2 linked regions of the Bombyx mori genome follow. The protein of the gene in region 2 purifies or fractionates together with the protein of the main gene of each other region. This does not show direct contact. Links are inferred from orthologs where the notes say so. Each region holds a gene or a part of one and is shown on either strand. Other genes may lie near its edges.

What was found. The genes of interacting proteins can lie anywhere in the genome.
Region 1: the proteins of ras GTPase-activating protein-binding protein 2 (region 2) and glycosyl-phosphatidyl-inositol-anchored protein purify together in Homo sapiens (affinity purification with mass spectrometry; 5 studies listed by BioGRID and IntAct, with this or other methods). This does not show direct contact. The link is inferred for Bombyx mori from reciprocal best matches to the Homo sapiens genes G3BP2 and CAPRIN1.

The regions. Positions count from the first base shown.
Region 1 is NC_085119.1:10,436,773-10,441,004, forward strand, and holds the start of glycosyl-phosphatidyl-inositol-anchored protein, read right to left. Parts: upstream 2,899-4,232; 5' UTR 2,800-2,898; coding exon 2,680-2,799; intron 742-2,679; coding exon 559-741; intron 349-558; coding exon 182-348; intron 1-181. UniProt on the Homo sapiens protein: mRNA-binding protein that acts as a regulator of mRNAs transport, translation and/or stability, and which is involved in neurogenesis, synaptic plasticity in neurons and cell proliferation and migration in multiple cell types.
Region 2 is NC_085112.1:761,856-765,026, reverse strand, and holds part of ras GTPase-activating protein-binding protein 2, read right to left. Parts: intron 2,137-3,171; coding exon 2,014-2,136; intron 1,862-2,013; coding exon 1,350-1,861; 3' UTR 1-1,349.

The sequences.
Region 1 (4,232 bases), on a different chromosome or scaffold from region 2:
ATTTAAATTGAACACACAATCATCTGCTTTTAAATAAATAAAAATTATGAAAGTCAGTTCACCTAGAAAAAAATTTGAAGTAACACATGAAAAAATGGTCCAATTGAGAATCTCCTTTTTTTTGAAGTCAGTTAAGTAAATCTGTAAAACAACAATATTTAGAACTAAGAATTGTACTCACAAATCATCCAAAATTTTTAAATCATCCTCAGTTAATTTAGCAGCACCATTTGTTCCATTTATGAAATCAGTCCTTGCATCTGCACTACCCATTTGCATAAGGCAATCCAGAATAAGTAAAACTTCTTTTATTTTGTTGGTCTCTGCTGCATAACGAACCCAGGCTTCCTAAATTTAAAACAGAACTGTTAAAAACTTTCAAGAAGAACGATTATGCTTTTAAATGAGGTTGGAATAAAAAAAATGTCTTTTGGAATATGATATTTGATGGTAGTAAAACGAATCCTCTCTCTCTTATGTATAGTTGCTGACTGTAGTACTTTCTTAGAAATAGTTTAGAATGGAGGTTTACAAAAATGAGCAACTTTATGAAGTTACCTTTTTAGCTTGTTTTTTTGCCTCACGCTCTGAAGAGATTGCTATAGCAGTAACTTGCTTTGAGAGATCTCTTGCAAATTCAAGGGTTTGGGCAACTTCATCATATTTAGCAACTGCAACTTTTTGATCAGAATTTAGCTCTTTTCCAGCTTTCTGCAGGTCACGATATGATGTTAGTTTACTCTGAAACAATAAAGTAATTTATTTTTTTCATCAGTGACAATAATGATCATGACATCACATTAGTGATTATAATGGTTGATAGAAAAACTGCTGCTATAATTTTAAAAAATTTAGCTGATTTCAAGTACTTTATGCATTTAATAGAGCATATTATGAGGATAATTTAAAGTACGTAATATATAACTGTAGATCAAACTAATATTTATTCATGTATATATTACAACATATACATTTATCTCTGGTTGCCATGATACAGTGATCCCAATTTGGAGCTACATGACCATGTGTGGTTTGTCCCCTGTTACATATTTATTCATTAACTTTGTAAAAGATTTTGTTCCTTTTTCTGGAAGTCAATTGATGAAATAAAATGTGAGGTACTTAATTACTTTAAATATTGTAAACTGCCCAAAACTGAAATCATAGGATAAATCATTGAGTTCACTGGTGTATATGTATGTCTTGAAAGCTAGTTCTTTCATTGTATTATCAAGTGTTAAGCTTGTAAAAAAAAACTTTGTAAACCCTGATATTTATCTTGAAAATTCTCCAATATTGGTGTACATAAGAAACCAAGAAACAACAATGTTGCTGACTCTTTTAGTTATCATGATAAAAATAATGTATACTTTAACTACAGTGTAGAAAAATTTATGTCTATTGAAGAAAAAAGTTTTCCTTACATATATGGATAGCCCCAAATACTCATTCTCAGTACAGGTAAACTGCCTATAATATGGTAGATGCATTCCTAAAAATTCCCATATTATATGAGATTAGAAGCAAGTACATACAAAAAGGAGAATATTTTTTTCTGAATCAAACATCTCAACTATGCCTGTATGTATTTTATTTTATGTAATATACATAAAAATAAGCAGTAATATTTCAGATTGTGTATTCATAGTGCATAACTTAATTGTCTAAATAATTTTAAACAAAAAATTTGTTATCATGTTGTAGAGATACAGTGTTATAAGGTTACCTGTATTCTTTAACCATTTGTATTTGACTATATTATACTAGATATAGGTTAAGTATAGGTATACATAGTTTTGTTGAATAATTTAACTATAAAATTAACAGGTACCACCAATATTATTGCACTTTGGGTATTCATGAAAGGTATTAACATAATAGGAGTGAACAACTGGATTTATTAAGAATAAGTTACTTAAAATTTTCAGTAATAAATCATCTTTAGCACAACAAAATGAAAAATAATCTTTAGCACAACAAAATGAAAAATACCAAACTAAAGTAATCAAACATTATTTATTGAAAATTCTCTAAAGAAATTTTGGTTTGAATTAAGCTGGACGTATAATTTATTGTTTGGAAGTGATTTTTGCAAATAAAAAAATAAGAAAAGAGAAGTAATAAAACAGACAATATAATATCACAATTTATAGGTGATTTATTATATTAATGTAGTTTGCTGTCATAGCAATAGAAGTCTAGCAATTCTATCCATATCTCATCTACAAAACAGTTTGTCACAGGGCCTAACCTGTAAATTCACTATGGACTCGTTTTAACAACAAAAGATACTACACAAGCTAGAACATATAAACACTAAAATACTTTAGTCCTAAATTAAATTTTTTTTAATAGCAAAGCTAATGTTTTCGCTTTAACATAACTAATTACATTTACTAAAAGAACTACTGAAATAAATATAGAGACAATAAAAAAATTACTCCCAAAAATAACAGGGCGTCATGGTTCTCATCGTCAACTTTGCGAAGCACATGTGTAAAATGGCGTCAAGAGAGTATTTGAATGAATTTAGCAAACAATTAAGGAATAAGCTTATGGAACGAATTTAAATAAAGGTCAAAACACGAAATTAAGGCAAGTTTTAAGAACGATTGAACACTCGACTAACACCGGAACATTAAACATTTTGTTGATATCGTTTACATTGTATTTACTTACCTTGCGTTTTTCCAAATTACGAATTTTATGCTCAATAATCGTCATAATTTGTCGAATTGGTGTATCCTTATCCTCCGAAGAGGCCGGCTTTTCAGATTTTGCATTAGCAGCTGAAGGCATCCTTCACAGGCAACAACTTTTCTTGGATTGCGTCGTGGGTTAGAAGATAGAGATAGAAATTTCTATCTGTCACTCCCAGCAAAAGGACGCAAGTCGTAAGTTTTTTGGAATTTTGCTATATGGCAATACCTACTTTAACCATTCAGCTCAGGATCGTTGAGGTTTTTTGTTTTGATTATTTCGTAAGGCAAAAAAACAATACACCAGTTTGATGTCTTGTTATTTCGGTTTAATAATGAACACACACACGAAATGCGTGTGTCGTTTGTTTAAGAGGGAAAGAGAGAGAAAACGCAAGGAGTAAATTGGTGTGAATTTTTTGGTTTTGTACATTTAGTATTTCCTCAGGGTTAAAAGTCTATTAATGATACCTGTTTAGCATGTGAAAGTGCGCAAGTCAGGCAGAAGTCGGTAGACATGGCTTCTCAAGTACTAGAAAGCCCAGTCAAGTCTCAGCATATTCTTACTATATTACTGTGACATTATTTCTAATCTTCTTAACTCGTTTCTTCTTCTTGTTTTTTAAAGTACTTATGAATTAAGTGTTTATAAAGGTAACAATAGCATCGCAAGAAGAGTCAAAATATTGAAAAAAATAAGAAGTGATTATAATTCCAATATTCCGACTTTTTTATTTAGATCGTTTTTTTCTGTTATTCTCCGAAGAACAAAAATAGCTTCGTACTATTATAGTTACTAATAATTAGGAGGAAATAGATTAAAATTGAAATTAACAACGGCTACTTTTATTTTACACACCACATATTAATTGAATTGCATTAAATCTCATTTTATGCAGACGTTAAAACTAGTACATATTATTAAAACTAAATTTTGTTAATGGTGTTTTGTTTGTTTTACCTATACCTATGCCTAATTTATTATATGGTTGTTTTGTATTGCTGGTTTCCAAATCAATAATGAAATAAATATGTACATGAGTATTTAATTAAAAAGGTCTTAGATAAAGGTTCTTGTTCTTCTCTTTTTTAATATGCCATAGTATGCCAATTGGTTTCTTTCAATGCCATTATTGCCAGCATTATGTCTAAATTCAATATATTAAATGTTTTAAATATTACAAGTAGAACATTTCCCTTCCTTTGAAATATTTGGGCCTATTTGGCGGGAGCGCGAACTGTGTGAATTGTTTTATTTTGTTACTTTAGCATTTCTTCAGGCTTCAACGTGTAACAAATGTAACTGTTTAACATTTGTGAAAATGCACAAATGTGAAAAAATTAAACAAATTCGCGTTCGTAGCTTCTCGGTTCTTACAAAAAGTTAATTAAAAAATCTCATTAAAATAGACTTGGTTTAAAGCTGCAGTTACCAAGCCATAAAATCATTTAAAAAAACAAATTGTTATATTTGTAATCTATGAAGGACTTTTTGGCGGGAACGCGAGGTGTCAAGCTGTGCGATTTGTTCTA
Region 2 (3,171 bases):
ACAATTTGTAGTTTCAACAAAAAAATTACAAAGAATGTCGATATCTCAGCTATCATACAGCCTTTACAGAATTATTCTCGCTGAAGAACGATGGGTTGTTTTGAATACATATATAGATTTTTTTGTTATATATATTATCGACGGTTTAATTGGTAACATTGGCCACGACACGTTTGGACACTGGAAGAATATTCTCGAACTTCATGTCGCACTCGCCACGGAGCCCCGGACGCCAGGGAGCACCCCGGGCACTGCGCGGTGCTCGAGGATTTACCAGACAAACGATATCACAAATTCCAACTACGAATCAAACTATAGTGATATGAACAAACTATATTTATGTTTCTTTTTAATTACAACCAACCGTCCTTATTAGGCTTGGAAATTAGAAATCGATAAGTGCGAATTGTCGTCGGTGTGACCAGTTTACGAAATTTCGTAAATCATAAATGTGTACATTCTTCAAAACGTTTTGTTAACGACTAAATCATATCAGTAAATCGTTGTACCTACAGTAGAAACGTTTAGAATTTTAATCAACTTCTATAATTTGTTTTTTTTTTGCAAATTGGTCACACCACCGGAATTCCGTTACTATTAATTAATTATTAAAATAAGAAATTAATTTACTATCTAACTACTTAAACGAAATATTCATGTTAAGCGAATTGCGAAGCGTTGTTAATGTAAAAATAAAAATGTATTAGAAATTAAGTACCGCTGCGGACATTACAATTTGTGAAAAGACCTGGTCTTCTGTACGTACTAGCGTGGCTCCCCGGCCGGCAGTCTTTTAACATTGACTACGCTAATGCCATTGTCAGATTGCCGTACTAACGAAAAGCTAATTCATCTGTTGCAGAAAGGAAATTGTATTGTGGCACCAACTGTATGTGTGACTGGATTACAATTCATTTCGTGTGGAATGCAAAAGCAGAACTCCTTTATCTATCTTTAATGAACAGTTCAGTCCAACAGATCAGCGCGGCGAGGCGAGCGGTCCTCGTACAGCTAAACAATTAACTATGGTCTGCAGTTAAAAAAGTCAATCTGAGATCTTTTTTATCTCATAATTTTAAACTACAAATGAATAAATTTGTGAATTTAATGCGATCAGTGTTACTGGTGGCGAGTATTACATAGAACTTCGTCACCGTGAACAGGGATACAATTTTTAACATTACTTTCAACGGAGAGGAATGTAATTAATTTTCGTAATGATTTTTAAATAAAATAGAACTGCGGCAGATGTATAATAGTTTATGTGAGTGAGGGAGGCAAGTTATATAAGTAACATACAGGAGTGTACACCGGGCGCGTCCGCAGCGGGTGGCGGGGGCTGGCGGGGCCTAGCGCCGGTAGGCGGGGCGGGGGGCGCGGGCCGAGGAGGGCGGGCGGCGCGCGCGGGGCGGGGGCTCGCGGCCGCGCGCCTTCTTCTCCTCCACGTTGAGCTTGACGGCGTCGGCGCTGTCCGGCGGGAAGTACAGCGGCGCCGCGCTCAGGCACTCGCTGGCGGCCTGCGAGCTCTCGTACGTGATGAAGCCGTAGTTGGGCAGGCGCGGCTGGCCGGGCGGCGCGCTCTTGGCGTGCACGCGCAGCTCGGCGACGGGCCCGAACTGCGCGAACAGCGCGCGCAGCTCGTCCTCGCTGGCGCCGGGCGGCAGGTTGCCCAGGAACAGCTGCTGCGCGTCCGAGTAGCGCCGCGCCGCCTCCGGGGCGGGGGGCAAGCCGGGGGGCGGCGCGGGCCGGGGGGCGCGGGGCGGCGCACTGCTCGGCACCACCGCCGGCATGGCGCGCTGAGCCTGACTCGACCCCGACTTCAGGAGGTTCGCGTAGGTCTTCGGTTCCGGAGGGACGGTTGCTAACAGTAAATAATTATTTGTTACTACGGATGTCAAACTTCTGTTGAATCGATAAGTTATCGCATTCAATTCACATATATACATATTTTTTTGTTAAGCGCTCCTGTTCGGTTGTTTAACATTGGTACCACTTCAAGTACAGTATACGTACCTGGTTGTGGCGGCGGAGTGGGTTCGCGCTCGGGCTCCGGCTCGGGCGCGGCGTCGAGCGGCGCGGGGGCGGGGGGCGGGGTGGCGCTCCGCTCGGGCTCCGGCTCGCTCGGCGCGGTCGTGGCTGGAACCAACGGGACATGCCTCAGGTGTGCAGCACGAGAAGCTCGAGCAACACACAGTCGACACAACACGTCTTACCCAACGAGGCACGCTTTGACGTATTTTATTTTAAATTTAAAGATTGACTGAGCTGTTGTCTACGTTAAGTTAGCACGAGACCGGAGATGAGCTATTTATATGTCTCAGCAATGCAGCTGATGCATAACAACAGGTGAAAATTTTCAGACCGTGATCATAATTTTGTTTTTTATAATATTATTGTCAATCGTACAATGAAGAAGAACGAAACATGAAAATGAGTGTGGCACGGAGCGTTAACATGTGAGTGAGAGAATACGGTAAGAAAAAGAAAAGAGTAAGACAAGATGGCGATGACGATTAAATTAGCAAGACTTAAAAAATATGTTAGTTAATCTTTAATTATGTAGCGTGCAACACTCGGTCGCACTCGGGCGTCATCGGATGCGATCGGAGTTCCCGAACGCGCAGGTGTCCCGTGACGTCATGCTACGAGATTCGCGCGCGTCGATTTAATCAGAATGTAAAAACGTAATTTTAGTTTTAATTTGTAACTTCTAGTTCCTAGCGTTGTTTACTTTACTTTTGGTTTATATTTTAATATTGTACACATTATAGATATTGTTGAAATGGTGTGTTTGACTTTTATATGTTCGGGAGTAAAATATCCTGCGAATGCGAGGGACAAATAACAAACCACAATTATAATAACAGAGAATATTTCGGAGAGAACAATTAAAGAACAACAGTGGAACAGTTTTATTTTATGCACCACAATCACAACTCTACATTGTGATGGTAAAGCAGCTTTCAGACTACGCTATAATATAATAGCATATAGTTTATAGTAGTATAGCTCATAGCACAACAATATTTCGCACCATACATTGTTATGGACACGTTTACACTGTACTGTACTATATATTATTGGCTAAGTATACGCTGCTATACTATATGGCACTATAGTGTCTTCAAACGAAGTTTATGGAGAGTAGTTAATGGTAGGCAGCGGCTTGTC